Sus scrofa: one gene and its partner. The protein of the gene in region 2 interacts with the protein of the main gene of each other region in a biochemical or structural test. Links are inferred from orthologs where the notes say so. Each region holds a gene or a part of one and is shown on either strand. Other genes may lie near its edges. The genes, in order: SPN and MSN.

Evidence for each region.
Region 1: the proteins of MSN (region 2) and SPN form a complex in vitro, tested with the Homo sapiens proteins (2 studies listed by BioGRID). The link is inferred for Sus scrofa from reciprocal best matches to the Homo sapiens genes MSN and SPN.

The regions. Positions count from the first base shown.
Region 1 is NC_010445.4:17,975,454-17,984,831, reverse strand, and holds SPN (leukosialin), read right to left. Parts: upstream 6,102-9,378; 5' UTR 6,087-6,101; coding exon 5,971-6,086; intron 5,573-5,970; coding exon 4,297-5,572; 3' UTR 2,610-4,296; downstream 1-2,609. UniProt on the Homo sapiens protein: Predominant cell surface sialoprotein of leukocytes which regulates multiple T-cell functions, including T-cell activation, proliferation, differentiation, trafficking and migration.
Region 2 is NC_010461.5:51,956,777-51,965,530, forward strand, and holds part of MSN (moesin), read left to right. Parts: intron 1-853; coding exon 854-950; intron 951-2,836; coding exon 2,837-3,000; intron 3,001-5,405; coding exon 5,406-5,536; intron 5,537-5,794; coding exon 5,795-5,955; intron 5,956-7,537; coding exon 7,538-7,630; intron 7,631-7,874; coding exon 7,875-8,099; intron 8,100-8,674; coding exon 8,675-8,754. UniProt on the Homo sapiens protein: Ezrin-radixin-moesin (ERM) family protein that connects the actin cytoskeleton to the plasma membrane and thereby regulates the structure and function of specific domains of the cell cortex.

The DNA of each region.
Region 1 (9,378 bases), on a different chromosome or scaffold from region 2:
TGCCACTATATTATATTATATTATATTATATTACATTATTTTGCTTTTTAGGGCCACACCTGTGGCATATGGAGGGTCCCAGGCTAGGAGCCAAATCTGGCCTATGCCACAGCCACAGCAAGGTGGGATCCAAGCCGTGTGTGCACACTACACCACAGCTCACAGCTATGCCAGGTCCCCAAACCACTGAGCGAGGCCGGGGATCGAACCCAAATCCTCACAGATACTAGTTGGATTAATTTCCACTGCACCACAATGAGAAGTCCCCAGTCTCTACTTCTTCTTTTTTTTTTTTTTTGGTCTTTTTGCCATTTCTTTGGGCCGCTCCCGCGGCATATGGAGGTTCCCAGGCTAGGGGTCGAATTGGAGCTGTAGCCACCAGCCTATGCCAGAGCCACAGCAACACGGGATCTGAGCCGCATCTGCGACCTACACCACAGCTCATAGCAACGCCGGATCCTTAACCCACTGAGCAAGGGCAGGGATCGAACCTGCAACCTCATGGTTCCTAGTCGGATTTGTTAACCACTGCGCCAGGACAGGAACTCCCCCAGTCTCTACTTCTAATGTCCCTCCTCACAGTTCTAAAAATGAACTCACGTTTTCCCCTAAAACTGCTCATCTCTCTGGATTTCCACATAATGATATCAGCATCTCCTCAGCCTCCCTAGATAGAAACCCTGGAGTCTAACCTCATTCTCCCCCCCCCACCTCAACAGTCAATTAGTTCTAAAATTTTTATTCTCTGAATAAATATATTTCAAACCTGACCCCTTCTTTCGCCTTAGGCCAGACTCCCACCACATCGAACTGGAACTAGACTACTGTTCTCATCTGGGGCCACACGGCCTTCGGGCCATCCTCCTGGAGCCCAGTTTCATTCAAAAAACAGACTTGATCCCTCCATACGTTTACTTGAAAACCATCATTTGTTTGCGTGGTAATTCATTTACCCCTCCAGTCAGTAAACACACAGTAGGTAGACATGCCAGGCTCTGGACTTGGAGCCACAAAGATGACATGTGTACTTGGTGGCGCTACACTCTAATGAATGAGAGACATCATCACGTGATTCCAGTTGTTCCTGCTGTCACAGCAGGCGCTGTAGGAGAGTAGGAGAAAGACCACCATATCTGTTTGAGATGGAGGCAGCAAAGGCAGCATCAAAAAGGCAGGGACATTGGAGCTGCATTTTGACAGTGGGGGAGGAGTTTGGCGGGAAGTCCAGATGTGTACGTGGTGAGTCGAGAGGGCAGTGGGCTGGCTTCAGGCATGCGCAGACCCAAGGGTGAGTACGCAGCGCCCTCACTGGCCGGCAGTTCATGGTCCGGCTAGGCTGTCATGACGCCCCTCACTGGGCAGGCAGGTGCTGAGCATCCCAGGGGACTAAGGCACACAAGCACCCATTGGCAGCTCACTGCTGGGGACAAATAGATGGTCTACAAAGTACCCTGGGTTTCTTTTTCTTTTCTTTTCTTTTTCATTTTCGGCTACCCCTCAGCACCTGGAGCTCCCCAGCCTGGGAGCAGATCCAAGCTGCAGTCTCCACATAAGCTGAAGCTGTACCCCGGGGTTTCTGATGGCTAATGCCTCAACCCCAAACCTCCCCAGAACAGGGGCAGAAATAGGGATGTAGAGGAAAATGAGGTATAAATGTCCATTTTCAGAAATGGAATGTCCTTGGATCCAGGCTTTGCAGCCCCTTTCCTAGCTGCAAAGTGAATAAATAGATTTCTCAAAAATTTCCCCATCCAAAATCTTCTTCCATCTGGAATTTGCATTTGGGATGACAGAGCTATATTTGTAACCATGAGCGTAATGTGCACTTTGAAAGTCAAATGGAAACATGCATTTTAAAATATAAGATGAAGAATGATATGCTGCATATGGTTGTGTGTGTAAGAGAGACGAGAATGTGCTGGCAATTAACATTGGCAAAAGAGGAAAAAATGTGATTTTACTATTTGGATAAAATTAGTATTTTATTAAAAAATTTTTTTTTTCCTTTTTAAGGCTGCACCCGCGGCATATGGAGGTTCCCAGGCTAGGGGTCCAATCGGAGCTACACCTGCAGGCCTACGCCACAGCCACAAGAACGCAGGATCCAAGCTGCATCTGTGACCTATGCTACAGCTCACAGCAATGCCGGGTCCTTAACCCACTGAGTGAGGCCAGGGATCCGACCCTCCTCAGGGATACCAGTCAGCTTCTTAACCCACTGAGCCACAACAGGAACTCCAGGGCCAGATCTTGAAGGGGTATTATACTCCATGCTAAGGAAGATGGGCGCCCCCTGACAGCCTTAGGGGGTGCATAGTTCATCTGGACAGAGTAGCCTTTTACACGGGTCATTGGGACCAACACAGGCGAAGGGTGGAAGGGTCAGGGGTCAGGAAAGCGAAAGGGCAGTCTCAGCAGGACCCAGGCCAGGCGGGATGGGGGCCTAGAGAGACGAGAGGGCTCCCAGGGACCATGCAGGGAGAATCAGCTGGACCAGGCACCTGGGGACGGAGGCCAGAGGAGAGAGTGGGGCCCTTCACGGCGTGGCTCTAACCTTCCTTCCAGCTTCCTCAAACCCGACACCCCACCCACCAGTGAACACCTTTTTGTTCCTTTGTTTTTTTTTTTTATTGTAAAAGGAATGGATATATAAAATTTGGATACTACAGAAGAGGGTGAATAAAGTAAAAATCACTCTTACCCTATCAGCCCGTCCCCCACAGACCGGGCAGAGGTGGCCCAACTCCTGGCAGATCCGTGGCCACTTTCCGCTCCTTCTCTCCCCATCCCTCTCCTCCCCCACCCCGTGAACGGGAACCCCCCCCCCAGGCCCTTTCCCTGTCTCCCCATGTCCCTTCCATTCCAGGCCACCTGGCCGGCACACTCACACGCGGCCCTTGGCGGCTCCTTTTGCAGGTCAATGTGTCTGCTCTCTGACTCAACAACTTCCTCTTTGCACATTTCCTCTTTGCCCTGGGGAAATACCAACAGCCTCTGGTCCGTGGCCTCCGGTCCAGGAGGCGCCCGGTGCTCTGTCCTGGGCTGGTCCCAGAGAGATGGCTCAGTTAGGCTTTGTCCCCTCCTGGCCATCCCCTGGGGGCCTGTCACGTCTCACTCTGACTGACTCCCTTGGAGGATGGAAGAGGAGATGCAAACACATCCAACCTGTAACAGCATCAGCAAGACCCGCCCTGGGTCTCCTGCGAGTGTTGGAACAGGGCCGGGGGCCGGGGGGGGGTGTGTGCGGGGGCTGGGGGGGGGGTCTTTGAGGAAGAGATGACCGAGTGGCTGAGCTGAGGAACCACACTCAGTCGTCACGCATGCGGTCTTTCCCCTCAGGGCCGGCCACAGGCGGAGTTCAATCTACCTCTGCCCAATCTGAGCAAAGATGAGGGCGCCTATGCCTCGGCAGCAACAAGGGTGGCATCTCCTCAGCCTCTGCAGCCCTTCCTGCCCTCGCCCCCACCCCCGCCCCTGTCCTCACCCCCGCCCTTCACAAACATCACGGATTCCTCGCCTCTCCCGCTCGCTCGCTCGCGCAAACCGCCCTCATACGGGGACCCACACAGATGCTGAGACTTCTAAGAATGACACCTGCCCTGAAATTCTTCTCACCTCCGAGGGGGAGGGGAAACAGCTGAAGCCTCTGGCTGTCTCAGGCCAGAGGTGAGGGAGAGTGTGGCGGCTTGGACAGTGGGCCAGCCTAGAGTCCAGGGGCTGTCACACACGCACCCGAGAGCGCAGCCCGATGACACCAACCCAGCCCGTGTTCCAGGCTGGCCCGGCACAGCGCTCCTGGGCGCAGAGTCAAAAGAAGGGTCAACTGTTCTAGTCTGTGGGGCCGAGTGTACTTTCCAGAGTCATCCTAAGGAGGAGTTTCCTGGGTTGCTTTTTCTGTCATCTTCCCAGACTCTGGGATCCCTGGAGCATCCTCTGAAAAATCCAAGGTCCAAAAAGTTTGGGATTAGGGAGACTCAGCTGGGGTCGAGGACAAAAACATAGAGAAACTGTGATGGGGAGCAGTGAGGTCCACGAGGAAGCTTTGCTCATTCAAGCTTTGCTCATTCTGTCTACAGGCGTTCAGTGGGTGCCAGCCCTGGTCTAGGTGCTGAGTGCAGATGCTGGCGGGATGATCCAGGGCCAAGAAGCCGAATGAAGACTCAGAGTGAAGATGCTGCGTGCACATCCAAAGGGTGCTGGGTGAAAAAGCTGGGTGACAGTGAAGTTGGATGTAACGGTAGGAGGGAGGGTGATGAAAGAGGGAGTGACTCTGGCTTCCATCCTTGTCATGAAGCCCTAAGCGGCCCCCGCCTCTCTGGCTTCTGGCCCATCAGAAGCAGAGGCGTCCGCAGCCCCATCCTCGCTGCCCACCAGCGGCTCCTCCTCACCCTTCAGCTTGGCGGCTGACCCAGCCTTTATCTCCTCCAGCGCCAAGGAGCCCTGGCGAGACTTCCGTTTCCCAAAGAAAGTGGTGAGCGTGGGTCGCTGGCCAGGCCCCTCCCCCTGGGGAGCCCCAGAGTCCTTGTTGCCCCCAGATGCTCCCTCTGGTGACATGGCCTCCTCATCGGACACCTGGGCTCGCCCAGCCCAGGCATCTACGACCCCATTGCGGTTTCCACCTCTGCTTAGTGTCAGGACTCCTGTCTTCCGCTTCTGCCGCTGGCGCCATAGCAGGAGTAGTACCACGAGGACAATGACCACCAGCAGGGCCACAAGCACGGCTACCAGCATGGTGCCATTTGTCCTCTGACCTGAATTTTGGGGGGAGCTACTGCTTGTGTCTACGGTGGATATTCCTACCCCAAAGATGGGGTCAGTGGTCTTCATAGAGGTCTCCCTGGTGACAGGGGGTCCACTGGTCCCCTTGGAAGTCGTTAGCAAGCCAGTTTCAATGGTGACAGGGGGTCCACGGGTCACAACGGAGGTCTTCGAAGACCTAGTTGCCATGATGACAGGGGGTCCAGTGGTTCCACTGGAGGCCACCAGAGAGCTGGTTGCCGTGGTATTAGGAGGTCCACTGGTCCCATCAGAGGTCTCCAGAGAGCTGGTTGCCGTGGTGACAGGAGGTCCACTGGTCCCATCAGAGGTCTCCAGAGAGCTGGTGGTCATGGTTTTACCAGTCACAGTGTGCAACCCCAGGGAGCTCATTCCTGAGACAGCAGGTGTATTGGCTGCATCAGAGATCTCCAGGAGCATGGATTTCCTGTTGGTGGAAACTTCCTGGGAGAGTACTGACCTGGGGAGAGGAAGGCCACTGCTGGCAGCAATGGAAATCCCGGGGGAGGACACCTCTTCAGCTGGGTAGGGAGTTGAGGAAGGCAGGAAGATCTGATGCCCAGGGCTGTTACTTTCCTCAGGGAGCTCAGTTGTTGAAAGACTGGATGCTTCTGAGTTGATTTCGGGGGTCCCAGAGACAGAGACCAAAGGAAAAGGGGACCTTGCGGGTTCAGACATCTGCAAAGCAGTCGTGCTCTCTGGAAGCTCTAGGCTTGCCACTGGGGCCCAGACGCTCCCAAAGAAGAGGAAAAGCGGGATCATTTTCAAGGCGACAGGCATGAGCAGGAGTTGGGACCTGAGGGTGGGGAAACCGGAGAAAGAGAACACATAAGAACCTGGGGTGGGGGGAGGACCTAGCCAGGCCCTCTCCCCGCCCTTGCCCACTTCCCTGCCAACTGCCAGGCCGAACTCTGCGGTTCAACGGCTTTTTCCACCCCTGCTTGTACTCGTATCAGAAAGTACAAGATGCTGGCGGTTCCCCCATCAACTCTCTCCCTAGGTCCCCTCAGCCTGCCTTGGCAGCTTGTGCTCCAGCAAAGGCCACCCCCTCCCCACCTGTCCCAACCGTGGGCAGCCTCAGTGGCTCCACAGTCTCCTTTTCCATTATCCATCAAGGTCTTTTTCAAGCCAGAAGCACATCCCCAGGTGCACTGGGGCTGCTGCTCCACCAAATCACACCCCTTACCAGCTCACCTGATAAGGGCGAGGTTGCGGCCAGGCTGCTCCAACTCCTCTTGAAGCTGGGGCAAGACTGGTGGCCAGGGCCCCAGGGGGAAAGGAAATGGCCCTGGCTCCACCCACCCCAGCATCCTGCCCCACCCTCCTGCTCCTACATTGGCGGGCTATGAGCAAGGCATCGCTTTTTCAGGGTCTGAGATGGTGGGGGACTCTGGGGCAGGTGGGAATGGTGGGTGGGATCTGGAATGGGGTTCCTCGTTCTCAGTTGGGAAATGTGATAGCAGAGGGTGAAGCTGGGATAGGGGTGAGAGTGGGTGGAGGGGTGGAACTGTGTGGTTGAGAATGGGGGGTGCGGAGGAGGAGCTGGGAGGGGAAGGTGGTTTCCTTTGCATTTGTGGTCCCCAAGCTGTTAGGCCAGGACCCAAGGCTAGCACTTTTTCTGCCCCAAGAGCTCCCAGGAAGTACCAGGGTGCGAGGAACTCCCTCCCTCTGGCTGGGGGCAGTGAAAGCCTTCGCAGGTTGTAGGAAAATCCTGGTGGGCTCTTGACTTCTCGAGAAGCTGGAGTGGGCTGGTGTCACCACAGTGGCCCCCAGTCATGGGATGCCTGACTAAATCGAAGTGGTTCTTAAGCACGCTATACGCTACGATCTTATTTTTGCAGAAGACTAATAAAAATGTGGGAGTCAACACTGATGACAGTCTGGAAAGGTATCTACTGAGGTATTACCACGTTTCTTTGGGTACGTCTGGGTAGGGAGTTCTTTAGTTTCTGCCTTGGATAGTTGTTCTTTTCTCACTTTCGTTGAACGTGTAAGCTTGGGCTTTCGGTACGTGTGTGGTTTTTTGTTTTGTATTCTGCCTTTCTCGAAAAAAATCAAAACCGATTATGTCACAAAAGTAATAATACATGTCCGTGAGAGATGATTAAAAGAAGCCAATGTCACAGCCCGGGATCGAACCGAACTCATGAGCTAAGAGTTAGTCCGACAAAGATGTGCGATTCCTAGGTCAGAGACGCAGGCATCCGCGCCTCATGGCTAAGCAAGCAGCAGAAGCACCGTGTCTGCTTCAGTTCCTCTTGCCTCTGAGTCCCACAGGGGTGACGGCGAGGGGTTTGCACGGCAGCTGAGCTTGGAGAATTTTCCTCTTTTCGAGGAGGTGGTTAGCAAGCCTGCTCTTTGTCCCAAAAGGAGACGTTACTTCATCCTCAGAGTTACTCACTGCGAACACAATCTTGAGCAACCCCCTGAATAGAGAGCATCTGGGACCGTGCCTTGCTGGCAGAGGAGCAGGAGTGTGCAGGGCTGCTCAGGGCTGCGGTGGATTGGCTTTCCCAACAGGCAGGAATTGAAAAGTGACAAAGCTCCTCTACCACCACCGCCAGCTATGCCCTAGTAACGATAAGTCTGGATGCATATACACAGGCATATTCTTTTTTTTCCCCAATACGTTATTATTTTTTTTCTACTGTACAGCACGGTGATCCAGTTACACGTACATGTGTACATTCTTTTATCTCACATCATCGTGCTCCATCATAAGTGACTAGACATTGTTCTCATATACATGTATAGGCTAGTATTAGGTTTTATCATGCATACTGCTCCACACTTTTTTTTTAAAAAAACGGAACAATAGGAAAGAAGGAAGGAAGGAGAGAAGGGAGGGAGGGAGGAAACCTTTCCATTGTCAGACATTACGTTGTTTCAACATTTTGCTCCTGCAAACAGAAATGTAGGAGTAGGGGTTTCCGTTGTGCCTCGGTGGTTAAGGAACCTGACTAACATCCATGAGGACACGGGTTTGATCTCTGGCCTCGCTCAGTGGGTTAAGGATCCGGCATTGCCGTGAGCTGTGGTGTAGGTCGTAGATGTGGCTCAGATCCTGCGTTGCTGTGGCTACAGCTCCGATTGGACCCCTTGCCTGGGAACCTCCATATGCAGTGGGTGCTACCCTAAAAAGACAAAAAGACCAAAAGAAAGAAAAGAAAGAAAGAGAGAAAGAAAGAAACATAGAAGTAATTGGCTGCAAAGTAATTGGAGGTTTAAAAAAAATTTTTTTTTGGCTGCACAAGTAGCATGCAAAAGTTCCAGGCCAGCAGTCGAACCCATGCAGCAACCTGAGACACAGCAGTGACAACACTGGATCCTTAACCCACTGAGCCACCATCGAACTCCTAAATGGATTTTTGTTGTTGTCTTTTTAGGGACGTGTCTGCGGGATATGGAAGTTCCCAGGTTAGGGGTTGAATTGCAGCTGCAGCTGCAGCTCCCAGCCTCTGCCACAGCCACAGCAACACCAGATCCAAGCCGCATCTGTGACCTACACCACAGCTCATGGCAATGCCAGATCCTTAACCCACTGAACAAGGCCAGGAATTGAACCTGCGTCCTCATGGATACTAGTCGGGTTTGTTACCACTGAGCCACAACGGGAAGTCCAACATAAATTTTTTTAATTCAAAAAAATAAACAAAAATGTTGTAAGACTGCGTAAAGATACCCAATTTCTCAACCTTTAAAAAAAAAAGATCACTGAAGTGGGGAGTTCCCATCATGGCTCAGGGGGTCAAGGACCTGACGCTGTCTTGTGAGAATGCAGATTTGATTTCTGCCCTTGCTCAGTGGGTTAAGGATCTGGCATTGCCACAAGCTGCGATATAGTTCACAGATGTGGTTTGGATCCAGTGTTGCCGTCACTGGGCTGTGGCTTAGGCTGCAGCTGCAGCTGCAGCTCTGACTTGAACCCTGGCCTGAGAACTTCCATATGCCAAAGGTGTTGCCCTAAAAGGACAAAAAAAAGAAAAAAAAAAAATCTGGAGTTCCAGCTGTGGTACAACGGATCCACAGTGTCTTGAGAGCGCTGGGATGAAGGTTGGACCCTCAACCCAGCACAGTGGGTTAAGGATCTGGCATTATCACAGCTGTAGCTTAAGTCACAACTTTGGCTCAGATCTGATCCCTGGCCCAGGAACTCCGGATACTGAGGGGCGGTCAAAAAAGAAAAAAAAAAATTGTTTTAAAAAGTGAGCAGAGGGGACTTCCCACTGTGTGGCTCACAACATAGAAAGTGAGCAAAGGGAGTTCCCATCTTAGCTAGCATCCGTGAGGATGTGGGTTCGATCCCTGGCATCGCTCAGTGGATTAAGAATCAGGCATTGCCTTGAGCTGTGGTATAGGTCGAAGACGAGGCTCGGATCCCGAGTTGCTGTGGCTGTGGTGTAGGCCGGTAGCTGTAACTCCAATTGGACCCCTAGCCTAGGAACCTCCATATGCTGTGGGTGCAGCCCTAAAAAGACAAAAAAGAAAAAAAGAAAAGAAAGAATCAGAATCTGAATACTCTTTTCCACCTTCACTGCTACCCCCCCGTGCCCCCCCATGCCCCCACCTCCTGTCTAAGCACCTAAGCCTTGTCTTTCCTCA
Region 2 (8,754 bases):
TTTACTGACTAGATTTGTACTGTCCGCTATGGTAGCTTCTATTGAGCACTTGAAACATGGCTGCTTTGAATTGAGATGTGCTATAAAGTGTAAACTACACTGGCCTTTGAAGACAGTATGAAAAATAGAATGTAAAATGTCTCATTAATATTTTTAAAATATTGATTTACACATTCAAATGTAGTATTTTAGGTATACTAGGCTAAATGAACTGTTATTATAGTTAACTCCACCTATTTCTTTTTACTTATTTTCACTAGGCTACTAGAAAACTTAAAATTACATATGTGGCTCTCATTATATTTTTTTTTGGTTAGCTCTAGAACCTACCTTATCAGGATTTGTAATTAACCTCATTTCCATATGGTTATTAAGTGTCATTTGGCCATATAATCCCTCTCACTAAAGCCTTCTCTCACTTGCTTATTTTTTCTCATTGGTCTGCTGCTTGATGAGGATGGAGATCAATAGATTATTGTTCTGTGTAAATTACGAATCTGAAACTCATCGTTTACCTTTGCCCAACCTTTACAACCTTGAGTAGAAGAGTTCCAGTTAAGTCGGGCTGGGGATTCTTATGAGAGATTGCTGCAAGGTCCATACCTTAACAAAGAGTACAATAAAACAAGTCTCAGCCATTGGAACAAGGGACATGTTCATTGTGCTATCAGGAAGTCCTTTGTGTACCCACAATGCTGGCAACTGACCTGGTGGCATGTGATGACACAGGCTGAGCTAGCAATGAATATGTCTCCTTAAGGGAGAAGTTGGAGGTGGGGAGGGCAAGGCACCAACCCTCTCTATCCTTTTTGTCTTGCCCTTGTCCTTATGTTCTTGATCTCCATTTCTACAGACTGACTCCTAAGATAGGCTTCCCTTGGAGTGAAATCAGGAACATCTCTTTCAATGACAAGAAATTTGTCATCAAGCCCATTGACAAAAAAGCCCCGGTAAGTTACTCCTCCCACTGGCCAAGACAGGTACCTGCCAAGTCCTGGATAATGCTAGAAGCAATAATGTCATTCTGTTTTTATCTCTCTTTTCTGACTTTTGGTTATGGGTGGGAATAGAAGACACAAAAGGTGATGACGGTGAAAGGGGATGTTGATGCCAAGAAATGTAAGTGATACTATCCTGCTACCTGTGTTTCAGGAGAAGAATCATGAATGAGGGAGAGATCTATAGGCAGTCTAAGTACTGCCTCTTAGCCATTGTCTTTTTTTCTGCCCTGAGGCTCTGACATAGAAACAGAGAATATATCTTATCTTTTAAAGCCTCTAGGCCCTAGAAAGTAGAAACTGCTTAGGTACTTGATTTATCTTCAGTTGTGGAGAAGTCCAGATCTGAAGATGATCCTCCAGATGGTTTTTTTTTGTTGTTGTTATTATAACTTTGCTGCTGTCCTCTCAAGACTTCTCTCTAGAGCAATCCAAAAACAAGAAAGTGCTTTGGGTCCAGTCATTCCTCTAACATGCTTGTCATACCTGTCACCTACTCAGTTCCTGTGGCTGATAAGACTGGAAGGCTGGTGATTATAAATAGGATAGAAAACTGAGATGAAAGTTTCCTCTTTTTTTTTTCATTGTTGCATATTGTATTTTATTTGTTTTTTATTTATTTATTTTTTTTCCACTGTACAGCATGGGGACCAAGTTACACATACATGTATACATACTTTTTCCTCCCATTGTTGTGTTTCAATGTAAGTATCTAGACATAGTTCTCAATGCTACACAGCAAGATCTCATTGTAAATCCATTCCAAGAGCAATAGGTTTCCTCTTTTGATGTACCTCATGTCCAACAAGGGCCAATGACCATGTTGAACCAGACTCTTCTCGTGAGGCTTCAGCCTTTCTTCTCCAGCTCTGAGGTCTCTGAACTTGCTCTGCTAGGCACTTTCTATATGTTGTCTCCTTAAACCCTTGATGACATTGTCTGGTAGGTAGTAACATACTTACTTTATAAGTGATGACCTTGAGTTTCGGAGGGATGGAGTGATTTGCCCAATATCACAAAGCTTAAAATGATAGACCTGAGATTTATATCAAGGTCATTTGACATCTAGAGCTTGTGCTCCTTCCATTGCACCTCAAGCGATGTGAGACAGTAGCAGTTTGGGTTCAGTGGCAAAGGAGCTGGTGGTTAGCCCATCTTCTGGTGACACTGGTCCAGTGGTATTTATAGTAAACTCAAACTCAATGGATTTTCTTGTGTGTGTGTGTGTTTTTTTTTTTTTTTTCTCTGCTGCTATGCTCAACTTTCATCAGAGAAAGGTAAGTAACAAAGCCAGCTGAGATCAAGGGCTTATTTTAAAAAATAGCAACCAGGATAATTGATGTTCAGAAGATTTACATATTCATGTATATATTTACAACCTGCCAAACAGGATTTACGGACTAGGTCTAGGATATGTTTTTAGGAGATTATAGAACCAGTCCAGCCCATCCGTATCACATTCACCAGGGTATTGTGCAGGAATTCTTAGGCCTTAAGAGAGACCCCTGAGACCCAGAAGGATATCTAATTAGCAGGTAAAGTCAGTTTATATCATCTGGATTGAGGGTATTTTAGGATTCTTTTCATAAGCAGAGATTGAAAGTATTTGTGGCTTGGTGGAAAGAGCACTAGTTTCAGAGTCAAGAAACCTGAGTTCTAGTCCTGGGTCTGCCACTAATCTGCAATCTGACCCTGGGCAAGTCACTTCACCACTCTGATAATTAGTCTTCCCATCTATAACATGATTTTCCAGTGCTTTTGGACTTAGCTTTTCAGAAGGCAGAAGCCCAGCTTCAACTATCCCTCTAAACTTTTTCTGACTGATGGTTTTCCATCAGGACTTTGTCTTCTATGCTCCTCGGCTGCGAATTAACAAGCGAATCTTGGCTCTCTGCATGGGGAACCATGAGTTATACATGCGCCGCCGCAAGCCTGACACCATTGAGGTGCAGCAGATGAAGGCACAGGCCCGGGAGGAGAAGCACCAGAAGCAGATGGAGCGGTAGGTATTGTGGTACTGAAGTAGGGGCTGGGACTATGACAAAGAAGCCTCTCAAGGTGCTAAGCCTGCTTAAGGCAGGGTATGAAGCTATCCTGTTCTAGAGGAGAGAGAACTGTACAGGGATGACACCTCCTCCATTAAGTCTCAGGCATCACCATCCCCAGGAAGCAGACATTAAAACCCTAGGATTTCAGAGAGGAGCATTTCATAATTCCCCATTATCTATGACCCTCATGCCACTGTTCTTCTAGGTGGACTCTGGGTTGCTCTGGGCTACCTTATCAGTATAGTAGCAGTAGCAGAAGGCTCCATGCACATTTAAACCTGAATTCTTTAGAGCTCTTTGAGTGAAATTGGACAGAGCCAGAATTTTCCCTACAAAACCCTTATGCACTGTAGCCCCTTGCTGCTCAAAGTGCATCAAGGGTCAGCAACATCAGCATAAACTTTGGAACTTTTTAGAAATGTAGTATCTGAGACCTACCCCAAACCTACTGATTCAAAATCTGCATCTTAAGATCCTAGTCGGCCATTTCTTCAAAGAAGATATGCAAATACCCAGCAGGCACATGAAAACACCCTTAGTCATTAGGGAAATGCAAATTAAAACCATAGTAAGGTACCACTTCGTATTCACTAATATGGATATAATAAATGAAAACAAAAAATAACAACTGTTAGCAAGGGTGTGGAGAAATTAAAACTCATTTTCATCACTATTGGGAATGTAAAATGGTTCAGCTGCTATAGAAAGTTAAGTGTAGAATTACTATATAATTCCACAATTCTACTCCTAGATATATACTGAAAATAATTGAAAACAGGTGTTCAAACATGCACATGCACACACATATTCATAGCAGTGTGATTCCCAATAGCCAAAAGATGGAAATGGTCCAAATGTCCATCAGTGAGTGAATGGACAAATAAACTGTGCAGCTATCCAATGGAATATATTATTCAGCCATTAAAAAGAATGAAGTACTGATACATACTAAAAGTAGTAAATCTCTAAAACCTTATACTAAGTGAAATAAACCATACACAAAAAATCACATATTGTATTATTTCATTTATATGAAATATCCAGAATAGACAAATTTGTAGAGACAGAAGGCAGATTTGTGGTTGTCAGGGGTTGGGGGAGGGGAGATGTGGAGAAACTGCTTAATGGGCATGGGGTTTTACTTTGCAGTGATGAAAGTGTTTTAGAACTAATAGAGGTGTGGCTATACAACATTGTGAATGTATTAAATCTCTGAATTATTTTCTTTAAAATGGCTAATTTTATATTACACAAATTTCGACTCTAAGTTATTTAAAAAATAAGATCCCAGATGATCCCTGTGCATGTTAAGGTTTAAGAGCACTATTCTAGTAGGTTCTTTGTCATAAAGAGTTTGGAACCTCAGGAGGCTTTTAGTCTAGTAGACTGGAAAATGATTCCATGTATGTGAGGTTAGACACCGGGATTCACATTTATTCAGGAAAAAAATGAGATTGGGGGAAGTTTATAAAACTGGATCTGGCAGGAACTTATCCTCAAGGACCTTACAGTCTAGTAGGAGAAAGGGGAAAAAAGAGTATATATGTAACTGTTCAAGGTATAAATGCTACATCATTTATTCACTCAATGAATATTTAAACAATGAAAAAACAGACAAAAATTTCTGCTCCCATGAAGCTGTCATTCTAATGGGAAGAGACAGATCAAATAAGCATATTATACACTTTGTGACATGATGAGAAGTACTATGGATAAAAAAATAATAGTGGGGAGGGATATGGAGAAAGATAGGTCATGATTCTGAGTATTCAGAAAGAGAAAAGACATCTAGCCAAGGGAGAGAATAAGGCCTCCAAGAAGAGGTGCTGGGGCAAGAAAAACCAAGTACTTATTCTAGATTTACAACAAATTTTGTGGAAAAGGAGCCTAGAGATGGGCTTCAGAGTACAGGCAGAGGACTGCTGTCCTAGCCATAGAGATCACCAGACTTGAAGCAAAGTATCCAAACACAGAGCCCAAACTTGTCTACTTTTAATTCCATGAGTTAAACAGGGCAAGACTTATTAGGACATTTTATAAATAGAGGTACTGAGAATAAGCGCAAAGAATTGAAGTTGCTAAAGTTAGCCACTGGTTATCTACTGGGTGGCAGAGCTGAGGGTCCAGGTTGGATCTTCTGATTTGGGGACAAACTGACAGGGCCCTGAGCATACTGGCCCCTGTAGGGCTATGATGTGAGGGCAAGGATGTAGAGAGAAAGGAGAGCAGTCTTGCCTCTCAAGCCCTGAGTGTATTGGAAAAGTGGGGACTGAAGGGCCAGGGCCAGGGAGCCTTGAGTATGCCAAAGCTTCCTTGTGGCCTTACTATCCTGTTCCATCCCTTTTTCCTTCTTTCATAGTGCTCTGCTGGAAAATGAGAAGAAGAAACGTGAGATGGCAGAAAAGGAAAAAGAGAAGATTGAACGGGAAAAGGAGGAACTGATGGAGAGGCTGAAGCAGATTGAGGAACAGACTAAGAAGGCTCAGCAAGGTGAGGCTTGGAGTCACCTTGGAGACTGGGTTTTCCCAGAGTCCGAGTCTATGAGCTAGAAGCCCTGTCTGAGATACAGACAGACCCAGACCATATATTCCAGATGTGGCTAGAGAATAGAGGGAGGATGGGGCAAGAGGAAGAGTACCTAGAGCTTTCTTCCAGCTGTGCCCTGGTGTGAAGCATTCCTAGGAAGGAAGCTAGCTGTCCTTTCTTGATCTCTGTACTCTTCACCACCATTCCCTCTCCTCTTCCCAGAACTGGAAGAACAGACCCGCAGGGCCCTGGAACTTGAACAGGAACGGAAGCGTGCCCAGAGTGAGGCTGAAAAACTGGCCAAAGAGCGTCAGGAAGCTGAAGAAGCCAAGGAGGCCCTGTTGAAGGCCTCCCGGGACCAGAAGAAGACCCAGGAACAGCTGGTAAAGCTACAAAATGGGCTGAGATTATAGGACATGTGTTTTCTCTGTTTGCCTATCACAGCTACCTCTGCTTGTGGGACTGGCTTTTTCCAACAGAGTACCTCTCTGCAGGCTTCCAGCAGATAGCTCCTTCAGAAGCAAGCTGAGAAGTCACTTTGAAAACAGTCTACCCTAACCCTTACTTTTATTCTACTTTCTTAGCAATTGGGAAATCTGAGCTGATGACCTGACAGAGGAGAGAGGGAAGAAGTAAAGGGATTCACACTTGATTGTCTAGCTGTGTGTGTTATAAGCTATACTAGCAACTTTTTCCTTTTCCTTACTTTCTCATTTCCTCTTCCTAAACAACCCTATGCTATTAACCCATATGGGATAATATGCCTGGATAAAGAAATTCAGGCTCAGATAGGTTGAAGAGATCTGTCGAAGGTCACACTATTTTGACTAAGTAAGGATGACAACTCATTTCTGCCTTTGTTCTTTTTTTTTTTTGTATTTTACATACATGTGACTAATTTATTATATAACTGGAGTTTGTATGTCTTAATCCCCTTGACATATTTCACTCATCCTTCACCCACTTCCCCTCTGGCAACTATCAGAGCCATGGCTGCTGGCCTATGCCACAGCCACAGCAATGCAAGATCTGAGCTGCATCTGTGACCTACACTGCAGTTCACAGCAACACCAGATCCTTAACCCACTGAGTGAGGCCAGGGATTGAACCCTCTTCCTCATGGGTACTAGTTGGATTCGTTACCACTGAGCCACAAAAGAACTCCGCATTTCTGCCTTTCTTTTAAGGGTTTGCTTCCTCAAATCATATGTAAAACTATGTGTCTATACATTTTACAGGGGAGGAGGGTAATCATCTATACTTTTATCACAATTTCCAAGGGTTCTGTGACTCAGAGATTAAGACCCTGTGGCCCAAATTCATTGACATATGCTTTTCTCCTGTACTTTTTGGAGTCAGAGTGCAAGAAACTAAGCCCTAATTCTCAGGGGAAGACTTTGGAAGATTTTCCCAAGGTGTGAGAATGTGCGAAGCTTTATTCCCCTGTTCAAATTACTTTGTGACACTTGAGTATCATTCCTATACTTGTCCTGGGAAGAGTCTTAGTGTAGCCCTGATCACTGTAAGGTAACAGGAAAGGGTCTTCCACTTCAGGCAGCAACCCAGTGATCTTCAAAGCTTTACTGAGGCCCTAACTGTGCAGTGGGTAATACTAAGAAAGTGGAGGTGGGGGAGGGGGAGATACATATATCAAGAAAGAGGGAGAGGGAGAAGGAGAGATAAGGAAGAGGGAGAGATGAGGAAGAATCACAGATGTCATGTTTGCCTTCAGGTCTGTAGTCTAGGTGGGGAGGAAATAATTTGGAGTTAATAGGGTGTTGTAGTAGATCTGAGAATGAGTGTTCCTCTGGGCCTCCTAGAGGAGGTTTGGTACAAAAAGCCCCCAGAACAGCAAGCAAGTGGAGAAGCAGATTCCCTGTTAGTTTGCAGGGCAGCTGGGGTTTAAGATACCTGGCCCTGAGGACTAGAAGGCCCACCTCTCATAAGCTTTCAATTTATCCATAGGCCTTGGAAATGGCCGAGCTGACAGCTCGGATCTCCCAGCTGGAGATGGCCCGACAGAAGAAGGAGAGTGAGGCTGCGGAATGGCAGCAGAAGGTAAGATACAGTGCCCAGGGTAAAGCAGTGTGGGACGGGGTACCATATGCATAAGTTCCAGTACCCTGGGGAAATTGGTACAGTTACTCCTATTATAGAGCCAAGGAGACTCAGGATCAGGTAGACAAAGTGACTTGGCCTACCTGGTGTCTGCTTCCTGCTGGACAATTCTAGGCACATGTAGGGATGCTGAAAATTAGCCTGGTGTGACTGCCAGTCCTTTTCTTCCTCTGTTATTGGACAGGCTCAGATGGTACAAGAAGACTTGGAGAAGACTCGTGCAGAGCTGAAGACTGCCATGAGCACGCCTCATGTGGCAGAGCCTGCTGAGAATGATCAGGATGAGCAGGATGAAAATGGGGCAGAGGCCAGTGCCGACTTGCGGGCTGATGCCATGGCCAAGGACCGCAGTGAGGAAGAACGCACCACTGAGGCAGAGAAGAATGAGCGTGTGCAGAAGCACCTAAAGGTACATAGGCAGAGCCAAAGGGTCATGGAGACCATGTGTATTGACTTAGTAGCCCATGGCCTTCTTTAGATCATCCTGGGCAGACGGGTAGAGGAGCCTGCTTCAGTGCTTTGTTGAGAGCTTTAAGGCCAGACCTCTCACTTATCAGTCAGACCCTGAACAACCTTTTTTTCCCCCATCCTCTACCCATACTCCATTTACATCTTATATTCATAAAAAATTTAGTTGACACAGAATATTTGATATATTGTTCTATACCAATTATCAATTTGTCTACTAAGTTTGTGCTTTTTCGTTTTATTCTTGCACCACTGCAGTTTTAACAGGGCTGGAAATGGCTTTCAAAAATATGTGGTGTGTGTTTGTAAAGAGGGAGCAGTTGTAGAGGGGTGGAGCGAGAGAGAGGTGGGAGAGAGGGAGGGAGGGAAGGAGGGAGAGAGGAAGGAAGGAAGAAAAGAGGGAAGGAAAGAATGAATAAAGGAAGGAAGAAAATAAATCAGGAAATAAATTTGGTTATTAAAGGGAGGTAAAATTAGAGGAAGCCATTAACTCATCATCCCCTTGCACCCTCACAGGCCCTTACTTCAGAGCTGGCCAATGCCCGCGATGAATCCAAGAAGACTGCTAATGACATGATCCATGCTGAAAACATGCG